Nothobranchius furzeri: one gene and its partners. The main gene of each other region encodes a partner of the protein of the gene in region 4 in a complex. Links are inferred from orthologs where the notes say so. Each region holds a gene or a part of one and is shown on either strand. Other genes may lie near its edges.

Region 1 (4,539 bases), on a different chromosome or scaffold from region 4:
TGGTTTGCCTCCAACTGTTTTAAGTTCATTTCAGATCAAACTTCTTCTGGACACTGAACCATCCCTGGCTAATCGCAGAAACGTATCTCTGTTGATTACTCCACTAACACCACACTAGTACCAATAAAGAGCTCTTGTGTTATTTTGGATAGCGCCTTATCCTTCCTATTACTCCTAACCGTTCTAACACACTCCGCAGTGTAGCTGCGACTCTCTCTGTTTCAATCCTAAGTGCTGCTTTTTATTGCCCTGTTCCTCTTAGTTTAGACCTTCAGAATGGCACCTTCAAAAAGTTATTTTTACTACTACTCTACTGCGCCTGGCACCAATTCCCAGCTGTGAAGACTTACTGTCACCATATTTCCAGCTGTGTTCTCGCTGTCGGTCTGGTCGTCCTGCTCAGAGGAGTCCGTCTCCTCCAGCGACTGCAGTTCCAGCTCCGAGGGCAGGAGGGCGCTCAGATATGGGATGGTGCTTGGCCGAGCTGCGATCACTAACAACAGCAATGTGTTATTCTGTATTAATGCACAGGGTTACACACAATCTGACGGGTAATGTACAGTCGGGATCCCTCACATGGGAAGGCCGTGACGTCGTCTTTGAAGAGGCTTTGAGTTTCTCCAGTTTTGGCCATGAAGCGTGTGAGGGCCCGTTCTACGTCTCTCCTCTGGTTCGCTGCCTTTTCTCTCACCACTTGGTACTCGGACACAGGCTCTCTGAATGTCTGAGGGAAGGAAGGAGAGCCTCGCAAAACACCTGTTTATGCAACATCACCCACTATGGGGGTGAACGTGGTTTTATAGGGCTATTATGGAGATTATGTTGATGAACTTACAGGTGTTTTGATGTAGGTATGAGGGTCCGGAAACTCTGGGAAGTGGCTAGGAATATGAGGTGGGTGAGTGCGCTTGTGCCCAGCTGACAGGGATTTAGGTGTTGTTGGTGTGTTCGTGACTGGAGCTAAAAATCAGGAAATACAAACATGTAGAACTTAAAACTAGCCTACAACCGTGACTCGTTACTTGATATCCTAGGGTATCATCACAGCTCTAACAGCAGAAATGTCAGGTTTTGTTTCTTACGAGCTGTAATGACCATCCTCTGTGACCGCTTGGCGTACACGGGGAGAGTGTCGACATTAAAACCTTTCCAAGGACAAACAATCACCGATTAGGAGTGTGTTCACAGTAAAAAAAAAACATGTCACCATGCTGATGCACCTTCAGTCTTACCCATTTCAATGAGTGTGACCACCGTGTCAGAGAGGGTTGGGACGCTCCTGGCCGTGTGTTCACAGTATGCTTTGGCACAACGACCTATTTCACTTATATCTTTACAGGAAAATGATACCATTAGTATTTCAAAAACTCTACAGGCACGCTTTTAAACAACCAAACAAATACCTCATCAAAGGCCAGCACCAATCGTACAACACAGTAGTGGATAGAAGCTCTCAGAGTCATAACCTGCAGTCACTAGTTCTTATTTAACTTCTTTAAACGCTGGACGTGACTCCGGTTGAAGACGTTCATTTGAACACATTGTGATCTCTTAACAGCGACATATTTTTTATTAAGTTCTCATTTTATTTATTCAGAGACGGGTGAGGGAGCTGACTGTGGTTGTGTGTGTTTGTGTGTGTGCGTGCGCAGACACGAGGGTCCAAATGCGGCTTGAATTCACCATTTGTCATCTCACCTGCTGTGCTGCTAGTTTCCCTGACTCCACAGGGGTTTGCCTAAAGTTGTGCGCATTTTCCTGTCAGGTTTTCTTTATAAATGTGCGTGGAAAGTGACACACGCGGTTTTCAGACCCGGTTTTGTTTATAAATGGGGCCCCAGATGGAGCAGAAACAGCTGAAACATAGAGGACGGAGGCTCTTTAAAGAGCAAGTCACCCCCTACAAGAAGCGTACTCCACTCCCACTTCATGTTTGAAAAATGCAACAAATGCTGTTGCCTAGCAGACCGAGAGGGTGGAGCCACTAACAAATACACACACGCACGACATTGTGACATCATAATGTACCAGTTTACATCATAGCATACCTCTTAGCCAATAGCGGTGGCAGATTTAAATTCAAATGCAGTGAAGAGTTTTTACCTGACAACGGCACAACACTGACAGTTTAAGGCAGAAAATTTAAATTTTAACTAAAATGCACTAAAGTGCAAAACTATTGACCACACGTGTCTGCAGCACGATTAGACACGCATTTATATAGTTTATCAGAAAAAATAGTTGATTTGGGGGTGACTTGCTCTTTAAACTAACCTAGACTGATTAGATCAAGTGAAGTTTAGACGTAAACATGCATTCATCTGAATAGCCTTAACCTGGTGTTGGAAGCTCGTGCTCAGCGGACAGAAGCTACTGTTTGTAAACACTTACAGCTCTGCATCATCTCCGTGAGCGTCTCCACCGCGGCCTTCTCTGCGCTCTCAAAGCCGCTCTCGGTCAGCAGGGCGCTGACAACAACCTGCAGGGTGCGACGGCGGGCCAGCTGGTAGTTCTCCGCGGCGCTGGAAGCCGCTTTAGCGCCACGCTGAAAGAGCACACACACAAACCCTGGCGTTGTAAGGTGCTAGCTTAATGTAAATATCTATCGAAATACTACTGCTCGTGCCAAGGACCAACATGTTTATTTACAGTAGTAATAACTGTGGCGATGAGAGGCGCTTGTAAGCTAGCTGGCGCGTTCTAATGCCCTAAAAAGCATCTCTTACCCCGCAGGAGGGCAGCGACCCTCCCGATACTACCGCTGGATCCGCCATAAGAGGTTAGCTCCAGGTTTCCTTCTCTAACAAATGCAATTCTTCTTCTATTTCTACTTATCCAGAAACCGCTTCACCGTCGATTGTAAACACAGCTCATACTATGACGTAATTTCCGCTTTTGTTGCGGAAGTGAAATTGAGTATTAGAGTCTTTCACTCTGCCATCTAGTGGCTATTTGCTGACATAACGTACCAGTAAGGGCGCACATCTCCCCAGTTTTACTGCTTACTGGTTACCAGAGGTGGTCGGGCCTTTCGAGCAGTGGCTCCCACACTTTAGCTCTGTCCTTGTGCTCTTATTGAAAAGATTGTGTTGAGAAACAGCTGAAAACACATTACGTTAGAATTTTTTTATACCTTATTTTATGTTCTTTTGTTTTTACGAGCACATTTTTACACAGGTTGTATGCGGTGTTTACAGTTTTTATTTGTGAAGCCCTTGGTGATATTTTTTCTGCGAACAGTGCTAAATACACATTACTTTTTGTTTTACTCAATAAAATTCTCCTCATGCATAAAGCTTAAACCTCTACCGTTAAAGTCGAATAAATCTGAATCTGTGGGCGCTTTAAATTAGGGCCAAAATTCTGCGAGCAGAAAAAATGTTTATTTAAGTACAAAATGAATGACACGAATGGCATTTCATGAGCTCCATAGACACCCAGTGCATGTCAGCCATTGGAACCTGCTGCCCAGCAGCATTACTAAACTGTATCCTGCAGTTTTTATTGTAACATTTCAGCTAAGTTTTAGCCACCAGCTAAGAAAAACTACACATTTAACCATATCTGAAATAAATTAAAGAATAAAAAATGAGCTGCTTGATTTGGTAATGCAGGCTACCACCACCACCACCACCAACAATACTGGTATATCTTTGTCCTTTTAAGTGGTGTGGAGTGTTTCTTTAAGAAGCATGTAAGCGGTTGGCTGAGCTTCTCTGGATAGATGTCCCCAGATATTTAGTCTTGGCTCCAAACGATACTGCTCCCATCATGTCCTCAACTTCGGCATGAACTGTGGCAGAGTCTGATTTGCTCGTACTGTTTTCCTTATTCATCTCGATGTAGAACTTTGCTTGTTCTTCCCCTGGGCTGTGATTGTCTAAAAAGGGCTGGAGAATCATCTCCACCACACCACCGACCATCCCGATCATCGCCAGAGTCGAGCCGAGCATGTAGATCTTAAGCATGCTCCAGCTGGGCTTCTGTCTCAGCATTTCCTTGGCAAAAAGGATGATTTCGTTGGTGCTGTCCATTTTCTGATATGCAATGATTCTGCTGGAAGAAAAATAATAGTTTAATGTAGTGTTCTTTTGTGGAAAAAACAATTATCACAAAGACATTTGGCTAATGAATGATACTCACTCTAAGGCAGACGTCAAAAATGTGAATTTCTCCCAAGTGTTTGGCACGATCAGGCATTCGCAGGTGGAGAGGCTGGAGCAGACTTCCCATTTAAATACAGCCGAAGCCGCGTTTCCTCCCACAACAGAGGAGAGACCATGCATATTTATGAGGCCACCTTTTACAGAGATTAGCACGTGTTTGTGTCAAAGGGCATGGGTTTGTGGGGAAGAGAAGTTGAACAAACACTCCCCATACGTGTAACATCACACATGATGTGCAGCACATACAGTAAACAACTGTTTAGTGAGTGCACAGTCACTGAAAATAGTTTTGGAAAACCCATCAATGAGCATACAAACTGAAGTCTGAGTGGTTGGTTTACATTGTGTGATTTGTAACCATGCACATTGGCCT
Region 2 (3,254 bases), on a different chromosome or scaffold from region 4:
TGTAGCCAGAATACCACATTTGCAAATTCAGAGTGCCGGTCTGGTCTTTGAAAACAGTTGGACTGACATACTTGGTGCTGCAATCTGCTTCCTGCGCAATTCCTGCATGTTTCAGATCATGAACACTGTTTATTTGTTTAAGTTAGTGATGAATCACCCCTGTAGACACTAATGAAGGCTGAGGAGACGTTTCTGCTGTTAGATTAGGTGTTAAAAAGACGAACGCACAGCCAGGAGATAAGATTTGCTTTTGGTTCTACTAAACGGACACAAGGTGGTGCTAGCCAAAACTGCCTAGTGTCCATTTAAAGTGGAAAGTCGGAGAGCAGAATCATCATTTTAGAAAATGTGTGTGAGCTTGCTGATCTGGTTTTTCTATTTGATTCATACAGGAAGCTCTACAGAGTATTGCAACGGACCCTGGTCTGTATCAGATGCTTCCAAGATTCAGCACATTTATTTCTGAAGGAGTAAGAATCTTTCTAACCTAACGTAAACATTGTTGATGTCACATCAAACATAAGTCAGCTGATTTTACGCTCTCCTCGAAGGTCCGTGTAAACGTGGTGCAGAACAACTTGGCCCTGCTGATTTATCTCATGCGGATGGTCAAAGCTCTGATGGACAATCCCACCCTGTATTTGGAAAAATATGTGAGTAAATGAAAAACCAGAAGTCCACGCCATTTTTAAACTAAAGATTATTTTAACAAAGCTGTTTTTCTTTGTAGCTGCATGAGCTGATCCCAGCTGTGGTCACCTGTATTGTGAGTAAACAGCTGTGTTTACGACCAGATGTTGATAACCACTGGGCTTTACGGGACTTTGCTGCTCGCCTGATGGCTCAGAGCTGTAAAACCTTCAGCACCACAACCAACAACATCCAGTCACGTGTTACCAAGACTCTGACCAAGGTAGGTGTTTGGTAGGAAAGTGGTCGTAAGACATTTTTGAAGTGAAAAGAGATAAGAGAGAAAAGTTCTGTGGCTAGAATTTATGTTTTTGACTAGAAAATGTTTGAACAACAAAAAATCTAATCAAAGTTCCACTTATAACTTACCTGTAATTAATATTTCATTAATAAAGTGTTTGTTCTTCACCAATCGAGCCAGTAAACCAAACCCATGTAAATAAACAGGTCTACCCTAAAGGCAAACGTTTACCATGATGATCATAACACTAATGTGTAGAACGTTCTGCAGCACATCTGCAGTGATGACCCAAATGACCTATTATTTAACAACTCTTAATACTAGCTCTAGTGACACAAACTCATTTTAAATCAGTGTTTTTTTGGGGGGGGACATTTTCAGAGTTTGTTCGATGATAAGACCCAGTGGACGACACGATACGGCTGCATTGCTGGACTTGCTGAACTCGGAGCTGATGTAAGTTTTTTTTTTTTTTTTTTTTTTTAGATTTTAACTTAATTTTTTGCTAATCAATGAACAGGTTTCTATTATTTTAACTGTATTTAGAATATGTGAATAGAAACAATTCTAAAAAAAAAAACTCTGTGGTGGGGTGCTCCCATTTGAGTTGTTTTCCTTTTGACAGTAGGGGTGGACGGATATCTCGGCTGATATTTACCACTTTTTAGATATCAGCATCGGCCGATGCGACTCCTTAGTAAAGCCAATTAAAAGTCGGGCATGTCCTCGGGCAGCCTGGTGCTGCTGCAGAATTAAATTTGTGGATATTTACATTCCTGAATAACATCTGCTTAATAAATGCTCAAAAAACTATTTTCAACTAAAATGTCTTAAATTTGACCAGTTTTGCCAGTTTACTAATTTGTTTGAGTAACTTTAGTTAAATGTCTGATTCCAACACTGAGCCGTGCATAAAATTAAGATTTAACAGTTGGTTAAACTCGGTGTTCAAAAACTGATTCGGTTTCAAACGTTTTGTAAATCAACTGATGTTATTGGTGGCATTTTAGCATGAACATGAGGTAGAAAACGTTTAAATATCGACCACGAAAAACAGCCCAGAATACCGGCAGCACTAATCGGCCATCACCTTTACCTGTCGGCAATAGAAAAACCAATATTGGTCGCCTCTATTTGGAAGAATTATAAGTTTTCACAGTGAGGTAATGGAAAAGTGCCATCGTCTGAAATGAAGGTGGTAGAGTTTGTTACAAGAGAAAAAACATCTAATTTACGACTTCTGTGTCTCAGAATTGTTACATCATCGTTTCCTGTTTTTGACCTTTTCAGGTGATAAAGACGCTGATCCTTCCTCGACTCACCGTAGAGGGAGCTCGCATCAAAGCAGTGATGGAGGGACCTGTGGTCTCCAACATTGACAAGATAGGAGCTGAACATGTTCAAACCCTCTTACTGGTAATAAATGTCGTTAGATGTGAATAAGACTCGTTTGTAAACTAAAACACTGAGAGACTAACAACTAGTGCTTTAAAGGTTGCAATAAGCTGTTTATTCTCTTTTTAAAGAAACACTGTGCGAGTGTTATTGCCAAGATACGACCTCAGCCGGACAACGTGGAGCAGTATCGGGCAGAATATGGCTACCTTGGGCCCATGTTGTGCTCTCATGTAGTAAAGGCCAGAACTCAAGCAACACTGCAAGCCCAGCAGGTCAACAGGACCACGTTAACAATCACACAGGTAAGCTGCAGAGTTACTTAAGTGTTCTAGTCTGCCGCTGATCTGAGTCGAGCTGTGTTTTGTTATTAGAGTTCTGTGCTCGTCATGGATTGTCCATAATGAACACCGTGTTCAGACATAAAGGTCCATATGGGCTCTTGGCACCAGGATACCTTAGGCCACAGCTCCATGATTGACTTTGTTGTCATCTCATCTGATCTGCGGCGTGTCTTCGACACTCGGGTGAAGAGAGAGGCGTAGCTGTCAGCTGACCACTACCTGGTGACGAGGTGGCTTCGATGGTGGGGGAGGATGCCGGTCAGACCTGGCAGACCCAAACGTATTGTGAGGGTCTGCTGGGAATGTATGGCAGTCTCCTGTCAGAAGTTTCTAACTTCCAAAAAGAAAGCAGTGCCCTACCAACTCTGTTTATAGTGGGGTCAGTGTGCTGCTGACTTCGACTCAGGACGTTGTGGATCGGTAAGCAGAGTACTTTGAAGTTCTCCTCAATTCCACCAGCACGGCTTCCAGTGATGGACTTTGAGTTGGGCTCTCAAATCTCTAGTGCTGAGGTCACTGAGGTGGTGAAAAAGCTCCTCTGTGACAAGGCTCCAGGGATGGACAGGATCCACCCAGAGATCCTT
Region 3 (3,868 bases), on a different chromosome or scaffold from region 4:
GTACTTCAGGACATAAGGGTCACGGGTCCTCAGGTAAATGTAAATACACGTTCTGTTTGATGAACAGCTGGTATGGACTTTGTTGACAAATCTGGGGTACAGATTAAGACTCTGATTGTGACTGCTTTCTATAAAACCATACATAAATCCTGAAAGGACGAAAAGCCTGAATTTCTGCTTTAGTCCCTCAGGAAAAGCTAGCATAGATCAGATCTTTATACATTCGTATGCATGTATTGTTTGCTTATAGACGCATTCAGTCATATGTTGCTTCTAGGGATGTAAGAAAATATTGATATAGCAATATATCGTGATCTTTTTTCCTGCGATATATCGATATTCAAAAGCTGTGTATCTAATTTTTGGAAGAATTTACATGCAAACGTGTGTATTAACTTTTCTTTTGGTGCAAATCAAATGCCGACCACTAGTTGGCAGCAGTGTACAATGGGTTCTGTTTCCACCATTGAATTGTAAATCCCTCTATCATGGGTCAGATACCTCATGTTAAACATGATAAGTATCAGTTTTGACTGTTTATTGAATTTTCCTACAATAAATTCAGCCTAAAAAAATCGCTGATATCGTCTGACTGAATGTATCGCAATATATCGGGATATATCGTATCGCCTCCCCGTATCGTGATTCTTATCGTATCACCATCATTTCACCAATACACTTCCTTAGTTGCTTCCATATACTTTACCAGTGCTGCTTACAGTTTGTAGCCTTTTCAATTTAGACTGTCCACTTAAGAAACTTTTGACAAATTTTAAATGTTACAAGTTTTTTTTAATGGCCTTTAAAATGAAAAACACCTTATTTTGTGATTTTATTTGTGCTGAGATATTTTTTTTTATTAAAAAGGAAATTAATAAAACATGATGATCTTCATGTCAGTTTTTACAAAACGCCCAAACAGTCAAGGTTTGGGTTTAGAGATCAGAGAAGATTATTCTGGATGTTTGGACTCCAGGATGTTTTCCGTCAATGACCAACAGACCAAAAATGTTATCTTTTTATAAACTTTGGTGTCTCCAAGGGAATTCAAAGCCATCTTAGTTTTCAGAGTTTCAGCGTGTCTTGTCTGTGTGTTGTTGTTAATAACACCGTTGTGCTCTGCACGGCCAGTCCCGCGCGACGAGCTGAGGGAGATCTTCAACGACATCAGCAGCTCAAGTGAGGAAGAGGAGGACGAAGGGGACCGGCATGAAGACGAGGACCTGAATATCATGGACACAGAGGATGATCTAGTGCGACAGCTCCAGGAAAAGCTCAACGAGTCGGATTCTGCTCAGCATGAAAGCGACAGAAACAACCAGATAGGTGAGAATTAGAAGTTTGGTCGTTGTTCATCACAAGGTCAGCAGTGTGGGGGAGAATAATCTCACACTTTAAAGCTGTTTAACCTTTTTCTAAAATGCAATGTGGGCCTCGTTTATAAAACTTTGCATAGAATCCTTACCAAAACCCTACTTAAGCTCAGTAAAGAATAAATTACTCACGCAAACTAGTTTACTACGACCTATAATACTCTGCTCACTCACAGCTGCACGCAGTTTCTGCTTTCTGTATCATGGCCAGGTTTCCTGTGTCCAAAGCGTACTCACGCCAGGTCCAGTGTTTGCTTGAATTTGCGCACAATTATTCTGTCAAGTTTTTCTGAATAAGTCACGTTTGCATGGAAAGTCACTTATGCAGTTTTCAAACCTTGTTTTCTGTGCAAGCAAGCTTTATAAATGAGGCCCCTGGTCTGTAAATTATCATTTTCATTTACCTGTTTAAACATTTTCAGGTTGCAGGTTCCAGGAAACGTCTGCACGTAAAGTGCAGACTCAAATTTGAATCTCTTTACTTCCAAATAACCTACATACCTAGCTGAATGAAGCAAGTGCTGTGTTGGATTATGCAATCTTTCATGCTGTGCTTGCAACTCACACCTCAGGGTAAATGTTCAATCTCTTAGCCAACTTGGTTGTTAATTTTTTTGTCAGAGTGGTCACAGCAACAAGGTTGGACTTTGGAAGAAAGTCAGACATTAAATTAAATCAGATCACCCCTAGGTACTTGTCGAAGCAGATGTAAAAAATAAACGGAACCAAGTGTTTGAACTTTTAATAAGAAGTGAGCTTTCTAGGTCAGACATCACACACAGTCAAAGAAATAGCCTGGCTTCCCCGTAAACGCGCATGCTGCTGCACCCTGCAGACGAACACACTGACAGCTCTCAGCTCTCCTCCTTAACCAACCAGGCTGACAGGTGTTGCAGCGCGGCATGCAGCTCAGACAGCTGTCCGGTCTGACAGCGCCGGGCCTCCTTATCTGCATACGTGAAGCTGTCAGTCAGCAACTCCACTGGTCAGCTGCAGACCAGCATCCAGGCAGAGCGTTTTCCAATATGTTGCAGAATGGTTTGCCATGATTCCAGCTGCTGTGCAGGCTTGTAATAAATGGTGCAGCAAGGGCCCCTTGCTGCTTAATTTAGCACAATACAGCAACTGCATTGGAAAATTGAGCACCAGTGGAAATAAGCAGTGAATGGATGCAATTAGTTAGAAAAATATGGAGCCAGTGCAGCTACAGGTTAGTGGGAATCAGTTGAATTGAATTAATTGTAACTCTCTTTGTTGAACCTACAGCAAACTGATTTAATTGTCTCATAATGCGTCACTGCTGCTGGTGCATCATCCGTTAAACAGACCAATCGTTCCCTAGAAGGTTTAATTTACTTAATCTGCAGTCATGCATGCATTGTTCTCCAGAGTTGTTTAGTTGCATCAAGCGATGCCAGACCATTGTTTTTTTCTGAGTTGTTTTAGGACCTTTTTTAACACGTTGGCCTCCTGCTGTTTTCTGCAGTTATGGAGTACCAGGTGCAGATTAACAACATAAAGGCCAAGCTTCAGGAAACTCTTGCCCGCAAGAAACAACAGGAAGAGCTCATCATGAAGGTGGAAAACCAGGCCCTGAAAGTAAGTGGCCAATGCTTTCTTTTTGCTCCTGAATTGCATGAAATCACTAAAACACACACACAGGGTCCGAAATTAACACTCGCCACTCGCCAAATGCGAGCAAATTGCTCCATTTGGCGAGTAAATTTTTGAGCTCTATCTGCCACCTGGCGAGTAAATGTTTGCACCAAATTAGTTATGTTTATCAGTCATCTTCCATGGATTTCTGTGATACTCCTCCCGCCTGCATGCAACGTACACAAACGTGCGCGAAACGTGAGCGCCGCATCCAATGTCATTTCCACCTATCCCATTCAATCAGTTTATCAAGTTAGCAGTTAGCTTCGTGTTAAAACTAGCGGTGAAATGTGGCGGTTTTTAACTGGAGTCAGCCAGCCTTCCAAAAGAAAACTCGTCGAACTGGAAGAAAAACCACCAGGACCAGTGGCAACCAGATTTTGTGAAAAGTGGCGAACTGGAGATGGCGGAGTCGTGAGACAATGGCTACATTATGATGGCCACGTAGCGTTGCTGCCTTTCACAGACACTTTTTTTCTGCACGTGCTGCAAACAGGATAGCCGTCTTCTATCAACTGTCCCTCGGCATTCTTCAAATATCCAAAAAATGCCCGTACTTCCCACTTTGTCTTCTTTGAGGGATAATAAATGTCCCAAGTGCTGCCGTCTCCTCCTGCCATTATTTCAGCTTTGGCTTCAAGAAAGTTTTGGTCGTAAACAACAAAGCGCGCATGTGCCGCCGGTAACTTCCAGCAGATGATACGGTGGCTGGTAAGGGTCACCGCGCCTACACCGCAGCCACGGTAATCCACCGAGATAATATATATATTTTTTAAAACAAGACGGTTATTATTATTGTCTACTTTTTTACCGGGGTTTACTGCTACACTGGTTACCGT
Region 4 (4,617 bases):
CAGGGCATCATCGCAAGGAGGATGGCATTCATTTACTTTTGTTTTATTTGGTATTTTTTCAGTCATTTTTGGAAATAGTGATCAATTTTGATTAATTCACAGTCTATGTTTAATTACATTTAAAATAAATGTCAACAGATGAGATCAAACAAAACAGATGAGAATTGCCCTTAAGCTGTTTAACTTGGACCAAGCATTTTAGGTCACAGATAGATGTAGCTTAGGGTCTCTGTCTATACACCTTATAAGACAATTTAGGTGATGGCATGTTGTTTTTCTGCTATTGAACTGTTTTCTAATAATGTTGTGTTTAATAAAGTGAAGGAAGGAGAGAAATAACGTTTCCCTAGCAGTTTTTAAAAATTCCCCCATGTAATCCGATTAATCGATTAATCGTGTCGAGACCCCATCCGATTAATCGATTATCCAAATAATCGTTTGTTGCAGCCCTAGTTTAATGTCCCCTTTAATTCAGTTTTGTCACATTTCTACGGGTTCAGTTCGTCACAAAATGGGAGGTGTTTCGGGCATGTCCTGCCGGCAGGAGGCCCTCGGGTCGACCCAGGACACGTTGGAGAGGTTACATCTCCAATCTGGTCCGGGAACGCCTTGGGGTCCTGCCGGAGGAGCTGGTGGAGAAGGCCGGGGAGAGGACGGTCTGGAGCTCCCTAGTTGGGATGCTGACCCGTGACCCGGATAAGCGGAGGAAGACGACGACAGTTTGTCACAAAATGCTGTTCTCAGAATCTTTGATTAGCGTAAAACCATGAGTGGGCTAACATGGTCATGTTGCATTGTGGGTACTACCTGTCTGGGCTGAAGCTGATGCCGTACACCGGCCCGCTGTGTCCGTAAAGAATCTTCAACTCGCTGGCCGTCTTCTCGTCCATGATCCTCTCCAGAACGTCGTCTGACTCTTTGTCAATCAGATTCAAATCTAAAAAAAGACAAAGAACACAGGATTTTAACTCCAAACATCTGCAGAACTTCTAAAGAGGCGATTATTCGGCCGCGCGCTCTACCTGCTGCAGACTTGACCTTGCGGAGCTTCTTCGGCGTGACGCTCCACACCCGAACCGTGGAATCAGCAAAACCACCTGCGATCAGGCTGGAGTCGTCGGTGACGTCCACGGCGGTCAGACCCTGTGGAGGTCGAGCAGCATCAGCTGCAGCTTACATCGCCACAAAACCTTTAGCTTTGATCAACCCTACTGGTTAGTGCTCGTTTACCTGGTACGCGTTGAGGAAAGTGTAGAAGCAGATGGACGGGAGGTTGTCGGACCCCAAACGGATCCTCTTGGTGGACTCCTTCATGTACATGATCTTGTCAAGCTTATCAGAGTCCTTCAGCTCTGGGAGAGGTATCCTGAACAGCAGAAAAACAAACAAAGGATTTCCTCCATTGGTGTACGTTTGGATCAGCGGGAGGAACGTGGTAAGTTGTTGCGTGACCAACCCACACCTGGTTTGTAAAGGAGCGTTTGGATCCTGCTTCTTGCTTTTGGAGCCCATGCTATCCTTTTTGGGCTTTTTCTTCTTGGGTTTACCCTCCTCGTTCTCGGCCTCTTCATCCTCATCGTCAAGGGGCAGCTCAATTTCTGGCTCCTTCAGCAGGCCGTAAAAAACCTACGCCAGATAAAGTAAAACGTGCTTCAACGGGTCTCTCCGTTAAAATGGAGACCTGGCCTCATCTTGGGTTTGTTCAACCCACCTTAGCCTTATTGGCTTCTCGTCTGGCCTCTCCTGCCAGGCTGCCCGACATTGCATCGATCTGGCTCTTGCTGCGCGGCATCCCATCGAAGATGTCGATGTACAGGTGCTCTTGGATAATATTCCATATCTGGTTGTTCTGCCGCTCCTGTAAATGTCTCTTGAGCAGCTGGTACGAGTCTCGGGAGATCCGTAGGACAAACTTACTGGTGCGGAAGTCCAGCAGCGTCTCGTTGCCTTTCATGTGCTCCTTCTTCGTCAAGCTGGAGAGAATACGTAGGTCCTGTTCGTAGTAGCACTCCTGGTCTCCACTGAACCTGGGAAGATAAATAAAACAGGGAATTTACAGAAGAAGATCTGCAGAATGTGGCTGGAGGATAAAGAGACCTACTTTTCAAAGAAGGCCTTGGCCACGCTTTCATTGTTGTTGTACACCAGCTCCAGGTACATGTGGACAAACAGCGGGTAGAAGAGCTGGGACAGCTCCGCGCGGTGACAGTCCAAAACGGACTCTATGAACCTCTTGAGGCCGCTGTAGTAGGCGTCATACAGAGAAGGATCTCCCTGCTGGCTGTAAGCTGACAGCACCACGCTCACATCTGGCTGGTCCTCCCCAGCTGCTGCTGGACACCACGTCATCCATACAGGACAAAGAGAAAAAACTTCATGAGATGCAAAAAACAATAACTAGTCACCACTTCTGAGACCAAGCATAAACCAGCAGGAGAAGCGGAAAGTGAGTAAAAACATGCAGCTAGGCTGGAATCTGCAACAACACGTGTTTTAATTATCCAACCGTAAAAGTGTGTGATGACTTAATTGTGATGTGTGACTAAAATCACGTGTTTAACTACAACTATGCGGTCCGCTTCCACGTAGCTGGATCAAACTGTACCCTTCTTTGGCGCCTGCGCTGCGGCGGAGGAAGACACCGTCACCCGGCTGAGCAGAGAGCTGGCGTCCACGCCGTCTACTTGCCCGCTCCCCGCGGCGAGCCCCGGTCCCGACCCGCTGGCGTCCGTCCCCTTCGGGTCCAGAGCATCCTCCGGCAGTCCCGCCTCACGACGCAAGATTTCAGCGGACTCCGCCAGTTTGCTCTTTTTGAGGAACTGCAGAACTGCCAGCAGCGTCTGTTGCTCCTCAGGTGGTCCCGGGGCAGGTTTGTTGTTTCCAGTCGCGGTACCGCCGGTACCGGCTCCGGGGGACGAGGAAAGTAGCCTTCCGTCGTTTGCATTGCTGTTTCCGAAGCCATCGCTCGGCGGTTCGGATTTTATGTCTAATTCGTCTTTTGCGTCGACCATACCACCCTGTACGGCCGCCATTTTAAAAATGAACTGCGCATGTGCGAAATTGAAAAACGGGAACCACCGACTACGCAAGATCGAGCCTTCAGATTGGTCGGTACTACCAAGCGTCAATGGACACGAATCAAGTCCCGCCTTCTTAAAATTCATCGGCTTTGACTACGATCCGCTACGATCAAAAGTGTATGGCAAGCCGTTTGACGCAACAACACATGAAATTAATCCCAAATACTCTAAAGTAAGTTTAAGATTAAATGATCTGTTTGTTGATATTTTTGATCTGTTTGTTGATATTTTTGTCACACTTGATATACATAAATCATACGCCTCCTGTTAAAACCACCAAGATGATTACTAGGGATGTGAATCTTAGAGCAACTCACAATTTGATTCGATTCCGATTCTTGGGGTGCTGATTCGTTTCAGAATCGATTCTCGATTCTCAATTCTCAATTTAAATCGATTCACAATCAGTATTAACAAAGAGTGTCAGCTCCAGGATAAACTACTTTGTTGTACAAGTTAGTTAAAGCTATGGGACATTTTTATTTGACTTTAAACTGGTCATGCTCCAAAAATGCAAATTTACAAGGTAAACTAAAGTGATTCTAAAACTGTAAACAGAAACAACCTTTTGACCAAAAGGCAACATTTATTTTTGCTTACCTTGTAAAATATAACTAATCTGTAGTTACCTAACAGTAGCTTTGAAAGTAATACGGTCAAATACTTTTCAAGTATGTGTAGAAACAAGTTACATGAGTAATCCTGAGTACTCGTTTATCAACTTAGAAAATAAATATGAGAATATCTCAAATTTCTTTGTATGGGAAAAAAATACATTCAAGTGCCCTCTTATCAGCAGATTCAAACATAAATCATCTCAATTTATGGGACCACAAAAGTAAACAGAGTACTGACTCTCCTAACAAAGATCAAAAAAGTGCATCTCAGACCTGTAACATGCCAAATATTTGAGTTCTTGGAAGCAATTCTGAATCTTTGTGAATCGATTCTGAATCTTTATAAATAAGAATCTCGATTCAGACTTGAATCGATTTTTTTCAGCACCTCTAATGATTACCTGAAGACATAAGCAAACATACAATAGTGATTAAATGTTACAAGTGTGCCTCACACCAGGTTGTAGAGTTCACTTTCACGCTGCTGAAACCAGAATTATTACCAGTTTTTCCTTTTAATGCCCATTGAGTTCATATAATAGATTAAATAGGCCACATCTGCAGGTTTTTGTCTAGGAAAACTTCCACTCCTTATCTTAAACAGGAACAAAACAACAATTGCTGAATGTGAATTAAGCATCATTTAATAGCAATTCCTCTTCAGCACATCCTGAGCTCCTTTAAAGGAATCTCCTACCATCTTTATGCAGATGACATCCAACTGTACATCTCCTTTAAGCCCCATGAGATGTCTAAGCTGCAGCTGTTACACACCTGCTTAGACTCTATCAAAACCTGGATGGTGGGAGCTTTCTACAGCTGAATGAAGATGAGACTGAGATCCTCATCTGTGCCCCAGACAAGCTGGTTCCCAAAGTCAGAGACTCTCTTGGTCAGCTTGCTTCTCACACCAAACCTTC
Region 5 (4,365 bases), on a different chromosome or scaffold from region 4:
ATTTTGGGGTAACGGGCCTTAGCAAAGTGTTTTGTTTGTACTTAAATTATCGTTTTTAGGTTTAACACAAAGATTGGAGAAGAGCAAAAAGTTCACAACAAATGGCTTAAAGGGTGATTTGGTTTAACCACCTGAACAAAAAATGTGTTCTCTGATGTTTTATGAAACCAGAAATCACATTTTATGCGACATGTACCAGATAGTGGGTTTTTGTTTAATGATGACCACAAAACTGATTTATTTATTAGAAAATATGTCCCGTAAGAGTCTAAGCAAACTACAAGTTTCTATCTGCTGTAAATATAAACACATAAAATATCCAGTTGTCCTATTATTAGTAATAATGTGTCCAGGATTAGATGCAGGGGATCAGGCCCAAACCATCACACCACCACCACAAATCTTCACTTTGATGTAACAAGATACCTACTTTGTTCATGCAAGCATAAACATTTACACACCTGAGAACACAGCTAAAATAAAGCTGATCTTAATTAAAACAGGTTTTAATGTAAGGAAACTTCAATTATGGCTCTTCTCTATAGATTCATGTTTTACTATTTAGAGCTATCAACTCCTGTCAATGTTTCCGCGCACCATTATGGTTAGCTTCACTCACAGCTTTAACCAGAGGTGTGGGCTGATCCTGCACGCTCGGTTCTTTATTTTCTTCTGTAGGTTTTTCTGAGACGAGTTCATTTTCAGGTTGATCCTTCCTAACTACTTCTTCATCGATAGCAGAAGCTGCCGTCTTCGGAAGAGAATCTTCTGTTTTGATCCGAGCAGGATCTGCCATCGTTTCTCGACGTCTCTCTACGATTCAGCCTCTGCAAACATAAAATGTTCTCAACATAAATTTATCTGGATAAATATAGACCAATTAACTGGTAAACAATCCAAATATGCTATTAATAAACTTGAAATCAAAATAAATGATACTCTGGTGAAAGATCCTCTTATCATAGCTACTGAAATGAATAAATACTTTGTTGACACAGTTCGAGATATAACTCAACAATTCACACCGTCTAACGGTGTTTTTGATCCTGTAAATCCTTGTCATGCTGTTTTCAGGATAGAAGAAATAACAGAAGTGGACAGCAACCAATCAAAGGCAAAGGATGTATATGGTCTCTCGACACCCATTTTTTAAAACTGCACAAAGATGCACTAATTCAGCCGGTAACTCATTTAATTATTCTATCGTTTAAACAAAATGTTGTGCCTTTAGCATGGAAGCTAGCTGCAGTCACGCCAATTGACGAAACTGAAATGGCCAATTATCGGCCCATCAGTATTCTCCCCACTATCTCCAAGGTTGCAGAAAAGTGGGTGGCAAAGCAACTGAATGCATATTTAAATTTTGGACACACATCCCTACATCCAATGCAATTCGGATTTCGTAACTGCCACTCCACAGAGACTGCAAATTGTGTCTTTGTGGAAAAAGTCAAAAGTCTCCTTGACAGGCATGCATGTGTAGGAGCTGTGTTCATAGACCTCAAGTAGGCTTTCGACACGTCGATCATCAAATTCTTCTAAACAAATTGAGTCATTTTAATTTCTCACCAGAGGCGCTGCTCTGGTTTCAGTCTTATCTGTGTGACAGAAAACAATATGTGTCCTTGTTTGGCAATAAATCCTCCTACATTAGTTGTCCAGTTGGAGTTCCCCAAGGCAGTATTCTGGGGCCGATTTTGTTTATCATTTATATTTATGATCTTCTCGAAGTATGTTCAAAAGTAAACATACAAATGTATGCAGATGATGCTGTTATTTTTACTGATACTAAACGTCCTCAGGAAGCCTCCCAATTGTTGACTGCAACCATGGCCCATGTACAAAAATGGGTCAAGAGTTCCCACTTAAAGCTGAACATAAAAAAAAACTGTTTGCATGTTTTTCACCAAAAAAAACAAACAATTGAACTAAAAAAAATCAAACATCTTTCTTGAAGGGGTAGAACTTGATATTGTCAAAGAATTCAAATATCTTGGGTTAACTTTGGACCCAACCTTAACTTTTAAGAATCACATTAAACAACTTTTAAAAAAAAACTGTCAATTATAATGTCATTTTTTTAACAAGTTAGACCTTTTTTCACTCCATGCTGCAAAGTTATTTTTACATTCTATGATTTTGTCTCACATGGAATAGTGTATAACCTCCTGGTCACTTGCTGCTGGTGCAACACTCAAACCCATAGAATCCCTTTTTTTAAAAGCCATAAAAATCCTTGATAAGAAATCATTTAGTTTCCACCACTGCTTTGTTTTAGATAAATATAGACTTCTTAATCTTAGTAACTTTGTTACCTTCAAGAATGCTTGCCTGTTTTTTAAGGTTTTACATGGACTAGCCCCTTTCCCACTGACAGATTGTAATAAATCGCGGTCTATCAGTGGAACGTCGACCAGGGCTACAGATAGAGGAGACTGTGAGGTGCCTTACAGACGCACTGCTTTTGGCCCGACCACACTATCCTAACTAAATATTGGACTAAATATTGGAATAGTCTACCACTCAGCATAGGTGACTCACAGTCATGCAGTTCCTTCAAATTCAAACAATGGCTGCAGGAAACCCAAACCCGTATCCATCAGTAATTTGTCCTCACCGTGGTGTTTTGTGTGTTTTCTTTCTGTTTTTCCTAGTTTTAAATACAATACTTTACTTTCTTTTATTGCTTTTATTACCCGCCTAGGGACTGCAGATGTAAATTAGCACTGGTGCTACAATCTGGCATATTTACCGATGCAATTTATTGTTGAAGTTCATTAATATGCACTGTCCCTATTAAATAAAGAAAGAAATGAAATTTACCGTTAAGGTGGATTTTCACGACAGAAATAACAGCATATACATACCTTCAAGCCAGAACGAGCTCAACGACACCACAGGAAGCAGCAACAAAACTAATTTAAACGTATTTTAGGTAGCCGTGAACAGAAAGTGGATTAAACATGATACATTTGTATAATATGTTAAAGCACACAACAAACGTGAAAAGCTAAGCTAGCGCTTCTTTCTTCTTCTTCTTCTTCTTCTTCTTCTTCCTTTTCTTCTTCGTGGGTTAATGGCGTTTGGAAAAAAAAAATGTTGTCGCCCCTTACCGCACTGGAGGGTAGCTGATGAGGCGAATTCATAAACTCTAGGGAATCTTGAACGTAAAATAGTGCTGTTCTGTTTATTGCCACCAGCATAGAGCTCATATTTTTCATTTAAGGAAAAAACAGACTTTGGAAGAAATTAGATAGTCTTTCTACTCAGGAAGTCTTTTACATGTATTAATCCAGATTTATTTCCTTCAAATCCTCCTCCTCCTTCTCTTTTGTTATGTCCCCGACAGGAGATGTTAAAATGTGAAGGAGGGGTAACATAAGAAATGCGACAGCGGGTTTAAAATGGCTTTAATTGTTATAAAAGGATCTACCTGGATAAGATGCCTGTGTGGAGCTTGCTTCAAACTCAGTTTTTCATTGGCTTTTTGTGAACGAAGAGGTAAATTGCTTTCCTCTAGTGGCGAAAAGCCGAAACTACACGTTGGTTCTGGTCATTTTTAGTCATTGGGTAAAACATCAGTAGAAAACATGTTAGCGTCCTTATATCAATGAGGCTAGAAACTGGAGTTTGAAGTAATTATCTTTAGGTAAGATAATACTTCTTTTTTACAAAACGTACTATCTCTTTAACAAACGTAAGCTAACGTGCAACAACAACGACGACCCAGCGCTGTGATTGGCTGGAATGAGCCGCGAGAAACGGAAAAGGAAGTGGTAGATGTTAGGGGAGGAGCTTAAGGTAGAACGGCCATGGCGGGATGCGTGAAAACGACACACTGTTGTTACAAGTCAGCAATAACCAAAGTTTTAGTCTTCGTTGTACTCTTTATCTGTTTACCCCAGTCTTCACTCCAGAGTACTGGTAAGAAGCTGTGTTACAAAGTGGGAAAATACACAGTCACTTACTTTATTGTGTTTTAACTCAGGCTAATCCAGCTAATTAGTGTTAGCTTGTTTCTTTCACAAAGTGAAACTGCTTGTGTGAGTTTAGTGGTGCTTCATACGTTCCTCTTTAATTCTGTTGGTTATACATGTAGTAGTTAACATCACCCCAATTCCCTTTTCGTACAATTCCTTTACATTTCACATGGATAAGCTATTAGTTGGGTTTATCCAAAAGATAAATCATTCTAACAATTAGCAGTAGATGATAATCTCACAGGATTATCCAGTCCAGAGACATGTCTGCTTGTGAAATCCAGGGAAAGCAGCCCAAATAATTGATCTGCAGGATGGAGAAGAGTTCACCATGTCAGGATCTAACCGGTTCTGCTACAGAAATGCTCTAGTGCCGACTTGGAGG
Region 6 (4,662 bases), on a different chromosome or scaffold from region 4:
AGTGTGTCACTGGTTTATAAATGTTGTCTCCATTTTCTTCCTCCATTGCTCACATTTGAAGACTGTCTCAGCTTGCTGGACCTTCAGAGTCTCCAGATGCTTCTCCAGCTGTTCTGAAGCATCCACAGTGTCCTCAAAGTCCTGCAGCAGGACTCTGTTCCCCAGGAGTCCACACTGCTCCTTCAGCCTCAGGTTGTCTCGCTGGACTCTGGTTCGGTCCTGCCTGGTTTGGCTCAGAAGGTCTTTCTTCTTAGCCACCATGGCCTCCACCTCTGCCAACTGCTGCCGTCTTGACTGGACCTCCATCTGACCCCAGAACAACTTCTCTTTGATGTTTGACAGGAGCTGATGCAACAGCAAAGACAGAACCATAGGAGAAATCAGCAAGATGTAAACTTTGACTCACACGTTTGGGTTTCGCTGCACTAATGGGTTCATCACATTACCTCCAAGCAGCAGCTGATCTTCTTCTGCAGTTTTAGTGATTCTTCATTTTCTTTCTCAGCCTGTTGTTTCTGCTTCAGCCTTTCAGCCCACAGCTGCTCAAACCGGACCTGTAGGGGATCCCTGCTGTCTTTATTTCTCTCACGGAGCTCTGCCTCCAGCCTGTGGACCTTCAGCTTCAACTTGAAGTGCTTGAGGCGCACCTTGGTCAGCTCGTCCTGCCGAATCTGCGCTGCAACCAGGACCGACTTGACTTTGGCCCGAGCTGCTTCCTTCCCCAGGCGACGACTAAGCGCCGCCTCAGCTGCATCCTGCTTCAGAGCCACCAGTGCCTGCCAGTCCTTTTCCACCTGAAGGCACACATTTAAAATATTGTCAGAGTCAGGTTAACTTAATACAGCTCATCTAACAAATCTGTAATGTCTCTCTCTGGTCAATAAAAAATCCTACATTTCCTAGAGTTCAGGTTTTAGGTCCTGAGTGACAAAATGACCATTATGTAATTGTGTGGCGCCCAAAACAGCAAACTAACAAGCTTTTTTACACTAAAGTCAGAGACCGCAGCAGTCTGTATGAGCCGTCTTCAGACCTGGTCCATCTTCTCCTGTGCCAGCATCTCCAGCTCCTCTGCCTGCCTCTGGGCTGACTCGGAAGCAGATCTGAGCTGAAGCTTCAGGTCAGTCAGGGCTTGGAGGTGCTTCTCATACTCATGCTGCCCTGATGCTGACCACTCCTGATGAACATCCTTGTTTGCTCTCCTTTGGAAGTATCCTGCCAACTTCATTTGCAGCTGTTGGTTTAGCTGGTGGGCTTCCTCTCTCTCCTGGTTCTCCAGGAGCTGCACCAACCCTTTGTGCTCTTCTTTGTCTGCAAGTGCGGCAGGCACCTCCTCCTCGTCCTCCTCCAGTGCAGGACAGATGGGCTCCTTGTCAGGGGTCTGAAAGTTGATCCCCGAGGGTCCATCATGGTCACTCTGCAGGTGTTCATTTGTTTTGTTCATGTCCACATCGAGCTCTTTACTTGTGGTGGGACCACTGCCCTCCTCTGGCTCACAGGATGCTGCTTCTTCAACAAAGAGCCTATTTATGACTTTCCCACTGACAGAGAGTGCCTCGTGTGCTAATATTCCAGCTGAAACGTGCTCTTCTTCATCTTCATTAACATTATTAGGAGCATTATTCTTTTCTTCATTCTGTAACTCTCTACTCATTTTTAATAATAAAAAATAAAGTTAGAATGTATTAAATGGCATTTGTTTGGAGTTAAACGGCTCGCGCAGTTCTGTTGTCAATGAAACTATTCGTTTAGTTTCCGTTGTCCTGGAAACTGGGACCAGGAACCAATCACAGGAGCTCTGTGACGCTCATGAATATTAATTAGGAAGGTGGGTGTGCAGCGCGAGTAGTGAGGCACGTAGTGCGCAGGCGCGAGGTCCTGCCTTCTACAACAAGAAGCAAGAGCCAGGCAAGATGGCCGACCTGGGGAAGAAGTACTGCGTTAACTGCCTCGCGGATGTTACAAACCTACGGCTTCGCTGCACCGACTGCCCCGATATCGAGCTGTGTCCCGAGTGCTTTTCGGCAGGTGCAGAAATCGGTAATCACCGGAGATGGCATGGCTACCAGCAGGTCGACGGCGGTCTTTTCTCACTCTGGGGTCCCGAAGCAGAGGGAGGATGGACCAGCAGGGAAGAGCAGTCGCTCCTCGATGCCATCGAGCAGTATGGATTTGGAAACTGGGTACATCACTTTTATTCACAAATACTCACTAAAGTTTAGTTTTAATGTCTATAGAAAGAAAAAAAGTTTAACAAGAACCAAAAAAAGGGCCACGACGTCTGTAACTTTCAGGAGAACAACTGTCTGTATGATTTGGTACACTCACAGTAAAATACGAGCAAGATCAATAATCTGTTGTTTCTGACTTCTCATAGAGTTGGGACCAGAGCTAGCATAAACTAACTGTAAATATAAATGAAAAGCTGACTTATTACAAGATTTAGATGTTTTCAGGTGTCAGACAAGCTCAGCAGATATGAGGATGTGGAAAAGAAAACTATTCAGTAGAAATCCTAACTCACTAAAAGTGTTCTAATCTAAAAGCAGAGTTTTGTGCTGTTAAGGAAGGATGTTTCTGTTTAAATATTAATTAAATTCTATAGAACCACCTCATAAATTTTTATACTATAATTAGTTTCTTTACCATAAAAACAGGAGTTTTTAGAAGAAGAAAAAAATATCCTTTTAAATGTTTAAATGAGTTGTCTTCACGTTATCTATCAGATCTGATCCATCCTTATGTTCCCTCAAGGAACCTTCGGTCAGCACAGCAAGGACTGTTGGTCGTTCCTAGCTAGGGTTTCCTGTTAGGGGTATTCCTGCTAGGACAAGCTGGTTCCCAAAGTCAGAGACTCTCTTGGTCAGCTTGCTTCCCACACCAAACCTTCTGTCAGGAATCTTGGCGTGACCTTTGACCCAGCTCTCACCCTGGATTCTCATGTCAGTTCTCTTGTTCGCTCATCCTTCTTCCATCTCAGGAACATTGCTAAGCTGAGTCCCATTCTGTCCCGCTCTGAACTTGAGACAGTTCTCCACACCTTCATCTCCTCACGCTTAGACTACTGTAACTCTCTTTTCACGTGTCTGAGCAGAACCTCCCTGAACCGTCTACAGGTGGTTCAGAACGCCTGTGCTTGGCTTCTGACCAAGTCCTCCAAACACACCCACATCACCCCGCTTCTCCTCCAGCTTCACTGGCTGCCAGTCAACTTCAGGGTTCATTTCAAGGTCCTGGTTCTGGTCTATAGGGCCTTACATGGACAAGCACCATCTTACATTGGTGATCTTCTTAGTCCCTACACCCCCAGCAGGTCCCTGAGGTCCAGTGATCAAAGCCTACTGGTTGTGCAGCACCAGGCTAAAGGTCAAAGGTGACAGATCATTTGCTGCTGTGGCCCCCAGACTCTGGACCTCTCTCCCCCTGAGCCTGAGATCAGTGGACTCAGTGGTCTCCTTTAAAAAGCAGCTGAAGACTCACCAGTTCAAGCTGGCTTTTGTATGACCTTCTTCACCTCTCTCTCTTTATTCTGCTCTCCCCACCTATTCCACCTTCCTCAGGATCCACTGATTTCCCTCTTTCCTGTTCACTCTCCCTCTTTCTTAACTTTTTTCTTTTAAATCGCAATTGCTTATTCTTGCTCATGTTAAATATATTTTTAAACATTTTCGAAATGCTTTTTTATATTTTTACATTTTTTATATTTGTTTTTGTGAAGTGCCTCGTGATTTTTATCATGAGAGGCGCTACAGAAATGATATTTTCTTCTTCTTCCTTTCTATAGCGCCTCTCAAGATAAAAATCACGGGGCGCTTCACAAAAACAAAAAAATGTAAAAATACAAAAAAGAATTTAGAAAATGGTTAAAAATATATTCAAAATGTGCAAAAAATAGACAGTTGTGATTAAAAAAATAAAAGACCAGGGGACTCATTTATAAAGCTTGTTCCCGCTCAGAAGGGGGTCTGAAAACTGCGTAAGTTAGCCTGCAGAAAGATTTTACAGAAAGGCTTTGGACCTGGTGTAAATACATGTTGGAGATATGTTTACATGCATAAAAAACAACTTCAGCCAACATAAGGCAATTGTGTTTTACTGATGCTGCATGTAAATGCACAGAGGGATGATTGGATTTTCCTCTGTTTAATTTCCGCTGTAAATAATCTAATAATGTATAAAGCAGTGGTTCTCAATCCTTTGTTCTGGAGGGCCGGTATCCAGCATGTTTTAGTTTCATCTTACCAGCACCCTAAACTGTGTTTTTGGGTCACCAACAATCTAAAGTGTGTGTTTGGGTCACCAGCACCATAAACTGTGTGTTTAGGTCACCAGCACCATAAACTGTGTGTTTGGGTCACCAGCACCCTAAACTGTGTTTTTGGGTCACCAACACCCTAAACTGTGTGTTTGGGTCACCAACACCCTGAACTGTGTTTTTGGGTCACCAACACCCTGAACTGTGTTTTTGGGTCACCAGCACCATAAACTAAACTGTGTTTGGGTCACCAGCACCCTAAACTGTGTGTTTGGGTCACCAGCACCATAAACTGTGTGTTTGGGTCACCAACACCCTAAACTGTGTGTTTGGGTCACCAACACCATAAACTGTGTGTTTGGGTCACCAACACCCTAAACTGTGTGTTTGGGTCACCAATAGCCTAA
Region 7 (4,313 bases), on a different chromosome or scaffold from region 4:
CAGCTCCTTACTGCTCCTGCAAAGCAACAACAGAGCGGTTCTTAGATGTTGACTTCCAGCTAGTCTCGGCTTTCTAGCTGCATTGGGAGGACACCTTCGAATGGGCTGCAGCAAGTCAGCACAAGTCCACACTTGTGTGTCAGCTGCAGATAATCCACCGAGAGCTCAGGGGCAGGAGAAACATCAGGAAGAAAAAAGTGGATTTTGACACCACCGAGACTGCAGGTGGTTCTGTGCCAATAAACATACCTGACTTCTACCTCCGGTTTGTTGTGGCGCTCCACCACCTGAGAGGAGAAGTTCTCCAGACAGAGGGCTGCCTGCAGGGTGGACCTCACAGCGTTCAAATACGGGCGCAGAGTCGCTGTCTGAGCAGGAACAGAGATCAGGGTTAGCAACAGGAATCCTGCATGATGATGTTCTGTTGATCCAGCTCAGTGAGACCGACCTCACCTGAGCCAAAACTGAGCATCCATACATGAATTAATACATATATAACCTTATTATTTTTCACTTTGTCCGTTTTAGGGTTTCTTTAATAAAGTAGTTATCGGTCGTCTGTGCAGAAAACTGCATTAAAAGCAGGAATTAAGCTGAATCTCGGTGAGTGAGGTGCCTCCAGGTGAGAGTAGATCGCTGATCAGACCTCATAATTGTGCTAGTAATTTTACAACGTTAAAAACGTGTGTTTTCAAAGAGCCACCTGTAACACTAACGAACGAAAAAAGGCCCCAGAACACAGCTCAGCTAAATCACTTCAGTCTCCATTCCGTATGAAAGATGCCCGTTACTGAAGCCAGCCACAAACAAACGCCATCTGTGTGACTCGAACACATAGCTAGCTAGCTAAGGTCAAGTCGCAGTGAGTTGAAAGAAATCGCAAAATTATTCTATATTTTCAGAAACTCGCAAAGTGCAAGAGACTTACCATTTTTGAGCTGTGAAGAAGGAAGTTCCTCAGCCACGCCTGGTACGACTCTTCCGTAAATTCTTCATGGTAATGTAAAGCAAGAGTGCGTTTGTTCTATTCACCTTTCTGGTTGGGTTAGGCGGGCATACATTGTTTGAAAGTATAACTCCGCCCAGCAGGGAAGTGGTTTCTAAAACGAGCACTTACAGCGGTGCATCCATTTGTCTAACCAAGTGGGGGGTGAGAGTCTTTGCTTTTATGACTTTTAAAAAAAGTTACCTTGATTTTTAAAATGATGGTTGTGTTGATTTAATTCGTAAAATAAAAATACTACAATGTTCCACTACGTCGATTTAGAATTGAAAATCTACTTAAAAGGTTTTGTGCAGCTGCGCACTGATAGAACATGGTTTAATCCCACCGTGACATTTTGGTTTACATGGGGGTTGTTGTGATCAAAATTTGGCAATTTTTGTTTTGTGTGCTGTATATCTTTAAATCTAATAGTACATATTACATAACATAAACACAGTGCTTGATTAATATTTCTTTTGGTTCAGGGAAGGTGCTGTTTTATTAATATCTTTATCGACACCCCTCTTGCTACAATGGTTTGTTCCATCATGGACACTTTTTACTGACGGTAAATGCTACTACTCAATGTTTCTGGGCTCCAAACATGAAAATGTAAGGTCTTAAATTTCTCCGTGGTGTAATATCTGTATGCAGACAGTGAATATGAAAGCCACTGTTGTTAAATTCTGAGATATCAGCCCCATTTGGGCCCGGGGCGGAATGATGCATCCTTTTTTCACGTACGTGCTTTGGGTTTTTGATTAGAGACGCACCACCGAGCTCGGCCGAACACCTGTGTGTGTGTGTGTGTGTGTGTGTGTGTGTGTGTGTGTGTGTGTGTGTGTGTGTGTGAGAGAGAGAGAGACACACATACTTCTAACTAACGCGATGCTCGTGTTTGTACCAGTTTAATAGGACATTGACAGCACCACGGCATCATGAGCGAACTGAAGGACTGCCCCCCGCTGAAGTACTACGACTTCAAGCCCGTGGAGCACGTTAAGTTGTGCCCCCGTTACACCGCAGTGTTGGGACGGTCAGACGACGATGGCATCGGCATCGAAGAGCTGGACACCCTGCAGCTAGAGCTGGAGACCCTGCTGTCCTCAGCCAGCCGGCGCCTCCGAGCCCTGGAGGAGCAGAGACAGGTGGGTGTTTCAGGTTAATGAAAGAATGGACTCCAAATAAAAAATATATAAAAATATTAAAACTTTCATTCTTACCTACTTCTTCAGATCCTCACAGATTGGCAAGACAAGAAGGGAGACAAACGATTTCTAAAGCTGGGCAAAGACCCAGATCCTGCGGCCCCATCCCGCCATAAACCTAAGAAGCAAAAACTGGATGGAAAGGGAGGACATGCACCAGGCCCAGGTCCTGGCAGACCCAAATCCAAAATCCTACAGCCCAAAGTTCAAGAGTATGATTTTCCAGATGATCCACAAGACATCCCTCGCACTCCGAAGAACGATGCACCCAACAGGTTTGCAGCATCAGAACCTTTTAAGTATAGAAGAATATCTTCTGGTGCATTATTAGCTAGACTGTTCAGGGATGTGCTGTATATCCACAACAATCATCAGTTTGTTTTTGCTTTAATGTGTTTTTTTTTTAGGTTCTGGGCGTCAGTCGAGCCATATTGTGCTGATATCACAAATGAGGAGGTACGACTGCTGGAGGAGCTTCTTAAGCCTCCAGATGATGAGACTGAGTACTTCAAAGTAAGACGTAAATCACAGTCTTCTTCATTTAAGTAATAATTAACATCTTAGTTTGCGGTTGATGAAGACGCATTGTGGGAAAAGTACGCCAGCGACTCAGCTCCGTTTGTGCTAACTGTAGATTCCAGCTCTGGGGAAGCATTATTCCCAGCGATGGGCCCAAGAGGACCTGCTGGAGGAGCAGAGGGAAGGAGCACGGGCCAACGACAAGAAGAAAAGCATCATGGGAGGGCCGCTGTCAGAACTAGATGCAAAAGGTGAAGGAGGCCTGAAACGATCGTGAGCATGTGTGCTTTTGTCTTAACTGTGCTTAACTGTGACATGCAGCTGTTGCTACTATGTTTGTTTTAATACTCGTCTTTACTTTTATTTTATTTTTTACAGATGTCGACTCCCTGCTGAAAAAGTCAGAATCCCAGCATGAATCACCAGAAGATGGGTGTCCCTTCTTCCCCCTCACACAGCGGCTGCTGCAGGCTCTTGTAGAGGTCAGACTAACTCCATTCAAATCTCACTGAATTAGGATTGAGGTGCAACCATTTTTAGGTAACATCGACTTTTGTTTGTTTCTACTTCATTGTGTGGTATTGTTTTCCACTTACCCATATTCATCCGTTTTAAGATTTCATACTTTACAGCAGGCAGAGATACCTTCTGATTCCTGACAACTACTTTTAGTGTAACCAACATATGTATTTATGTGTGTTCTCTAGTGAAACAACTTGATTCATCAGCCAGCACTTGTGGTTTCTGTAACGGTCATAAGATCACAATCTGAAGTACTTTATTCAGCTTTGCTTTGCAGCGTTGCTCGCACTTTTACCTTCTTTTCAACCGTTTGTCTTTTTAGTGCATCTAAAGCCTCTTCTGCACCAAAAGCTGCAAAGCTGAGATCTGAAAGCTGTTTATTTGTATGGTTTGGAAACGTTGCACTGCGGCATACTCTTGTGCAGCCAACAGACACATAAAACATCTCTGTGCGTGCTGCTTTTGGTGTGCCAGAGGCATCGGAATAACTGTCAGAAACCTGTACACTGATTTGTTCTCTTGCATTGATCCATGCAGAGAAAAAGTGTTGGGTGTTGACACAGCACTGGTTGGTTTCTAAAGTTTAAGTTATGTTTGTGTAGATTTTGCATCAGAAACAAGAAAAGTATTCATCGCTAAATCTGGAGCCTGAAAAATGTTGCTGCAAAACCTTTCTAGAATATTTGAAGTCCAGCTCCTTTTGGGCTTATAGCGTAACAAGAGGTAGTCATAGAGGTGTATGTTTATCAGTTTGGTTTTGTTCTTTTCCAGGAGAACATTATATCCCCTATGGAGGATTCTCCAATACCAGACATATCAGGAAAGGATGCCAATGACGGTGCTGGCACTTCTCCTCGAAGCCAAGGCAAAGCATTCAGGTGCGTTGCATCGTATCCGTGCAGAAGATCAGCTCTTTGTAGAACGTTATCTACCAGGTTCAGTTTAAGGTTCGGATGTTTGTCTACAAAGCCTGTGAACTGCCTATTTCTAACATGCCCACTCCATCTCAGAGGTCTGCTGTAGGGATGGAGAGATTCACCGATATGAACCGGTGGTTCGTTCATAACGTTAGCGATGCG

Evidence for each region.
Region 1: taf5 (region 4) and taf8 share a complex: the UniProt entries of both Homo sapiens proteins name them as parts of the TFIID basal transcription factor complex. The link is inferred for Nothobranchius furzeri from reciprocal best matches to the Homo sapiens genes TAF5 and TAF8.
Region 2: taf5 (region 4) and taf6 share a complex: the UniProt entries of both Homo sapiens proteins name them as parts of the TFIID basal transcription factor complex. The link is inferred for Nothobranchius furzeri from reciprocal best matches to the Homo sapiens genes TAF5 and TAF6.
Region 3: taf5 (region 4) and taf7 share a complex: the UniProt entries of both Homo sapiens proteins name them as parts of the TFIID basal transcription factor complex. The link is inferred for Nothobranchius furzeri from reciprocal best matches to the Homo sapiens genes TAF5 and TAF7.
Region 5: taf5 (region 4) and taf11 share a complex: the UniProt entries of both Homo sapiens proteins name them as parts of the TFIID basal transcription factor complex. The link is inferred for Nothobranchius furzeri from reciprocal best matches to the Homo sapiens genes TAF5 and TAF11.
Region 6: taf5 (region 4) and tada2b share a complex: the UniProt entries of both Homo sapiens proteins name them as parts of the TFTC-HAT complex. The link is inferred for Nothobranchius furzeri from reciprocal best matches to the Homo sapiens genes TAF5 and TADA2B.
Region 7: taf5 (region 4) and tada3l share a complex: the UniProt entries of both Homo sapiens proteins name them as parts of the TFTC-HAT complex. The link is inferred for Nothobranchius furzeri from reciprocal best matches to the Homo sapiens genes TAF5 and TADA3.

The regions. Positions count from the first base shown.
Region 1 is NC_091755.1:40,694,837-40,699,375, reverse strand, and holds the start of taf8 (transcription initiation factor TFIID subunit 8), read right to left. Parts: upstream 2,903-4,539; 5' UTR 2,775-2,902; coding exon 2,727-2,774; intron 2,546-2,726; coding exon 2,392-2,545; intron 1,332-2,391; coding exon 1,233-1,331; intron 1,146-1,232; coding exon 1,083-1,145; intron 961-1,082; coding exon 836-960; intron 725-835; coding exon 577-724; intron 494-576; coding exon 351-493; intron 1-350. Other genes in the region: g0s2 (G0/G1 switch protein 2), read right to left, coding at 3,684-4,056, 4,144-4,286. UniProt on the Homo sapiens protein: The TFIID basal transcription factor complex plays a major role in the initiation of RNA polymerase II (Pol II)-dependent transcription.
Region 2 is NC_091750.1:47,776,784-47,780,037, forward strand, and holds part of taf6 (transcription initiation factor TFIID subunit 6), read left to right. Parts: intron 1-392; coding exon 393-470; intron 471-551; coding exon 552-653; intron 654-730; coding exon 731-913; intron 914-1,312; coding exon 1,313-1,387; intron 1,388-2,221; coding exon 2,222-2,347; intron 2,348-2,457; coding exon 2,458-2,631; intron 2,632-3,254. UniProt on the Homo sapiens protein: The TFIID basal transcription factor complex plays a major role in the initiation of RNA polymerase II (Pol II)-dependent transcription.
Region 3 is NC_091741.1:82,927,580-82,931,447, reverse strand, and holds part of taf7 (transcription initiation factor TFIID subunit 7), read left to right. Parts: coding exon 1-33; intron 34-1,131; coding exon 1,132-1,326; intron 1,327-2,859; coding exon 2,860-2,972; intron 2,973-3,868. UniProt on the Homo sapiens protein: The TFIID basal transcription factor complex plays a major role in the initiation of RNA polymerase II (Pol II)-dependent transcription.
Region 4 is NC_091746.1:23,735,921-23,740,537, reverse strand, and holds the start of taf5 (transcription initiation factor TFIID subunit 5), read right to left. Parts: upstream 3,093-4,617; 5' UTR 3,033-3,092; coding exon 2,606-3,032; intron 2,334-2,605; coding exon 2,102-2,333; intron 2,028-2,101; coding exon 1,712-2,027; intron 1,627-1,711; coding exon 1,463-1,626; intron 1,367-1,462; coding exon 1,231-1,366; intron 1,144-1,230; coding exon 1,023-1,143; intron 938-1,022; coding exon 808-937; intron 1-807. UniProt on the Homo sapiens protein: The TFIID basal transcription factor complex plays a major role in the initiation of RNA polymerase II (Pol II)-dependent transcription.
Region 5 is NC_091755.1:54,208,589-54,212,953, forward strand, and holds the start of taf11 (transcription initiation factor TFIID subunit 11), read right to left. Parts: upstream 3,058-4,365; 5' UTR 2,868-3,057; intron 828-2,867; 5' UTR 797-827; coding exon 620-796; intron 1-619. Other genes in the region: nemp1 (nuclear envelope integral membrane protein 1), read left to right, coding at 3,813-3,924, 4,265-4,365. UniProt on the Homo sapiens protein: The TFIID basal transcription factor complex plays a major role in the initiation of RNA polymerase II (Pol II)-dependent transcription.
Region 6 is NC_091754.1:63,115,911-63,120,572, reverse strand, and holds the start of tada2b (transcriptional adapter 2-beta), read left to right. Parts: upstream 1-1,778; 5' UTR 1,779-1,913; coding exon 1,914-2,183; intron 2,184-4,662. Other genes in the region: cfap184 (cilia- and flagella-associated protein 184), read right to left, coding at 7-345, 447-794, 1,034-1,654. UniProt on the Homo sapiens protein: Coactivates PAX5-dependent transcription together with either SMARCA4 or GCN5L2.
Region 7 is NC_091743.1:74,426,804-74,431,116, reverse strand, and holds the start of tada3l (transcriptional adapter 3), read left to right. Parts: upstream 1-1,351; 5' UTR 1,352-1,553; exon of another isoform or gene 1,554-1,597; intron 1,598-1,892; 5' UTR 1,893-1,923; coding exon 1,924-2,133; intron 2,134-2,220; coding exon 2,221-2,468; intron 2,469-2,600; coding exon 2,601-2,706; intron 2,707-2,827; coding exon 2,828-2,963; intron 2,964-3,090; coding exon 3,091-3,194; intron 3,195-4,005; coding exon 4,006-4,112; intron 4,113-4,313. Other genes in the region: actin-related protein 2/3 complex subunit 4, read right to left, coding at 1-16, 250-368, 929-931. UniProt on the Homo sapiens protein: Functions as a component of the PCAF complex. The PCAF complex is capable of efficiently acetylating histones in a nucleosomal context. The PCAF complex could be considered as the human version of the yeast SAGA complex.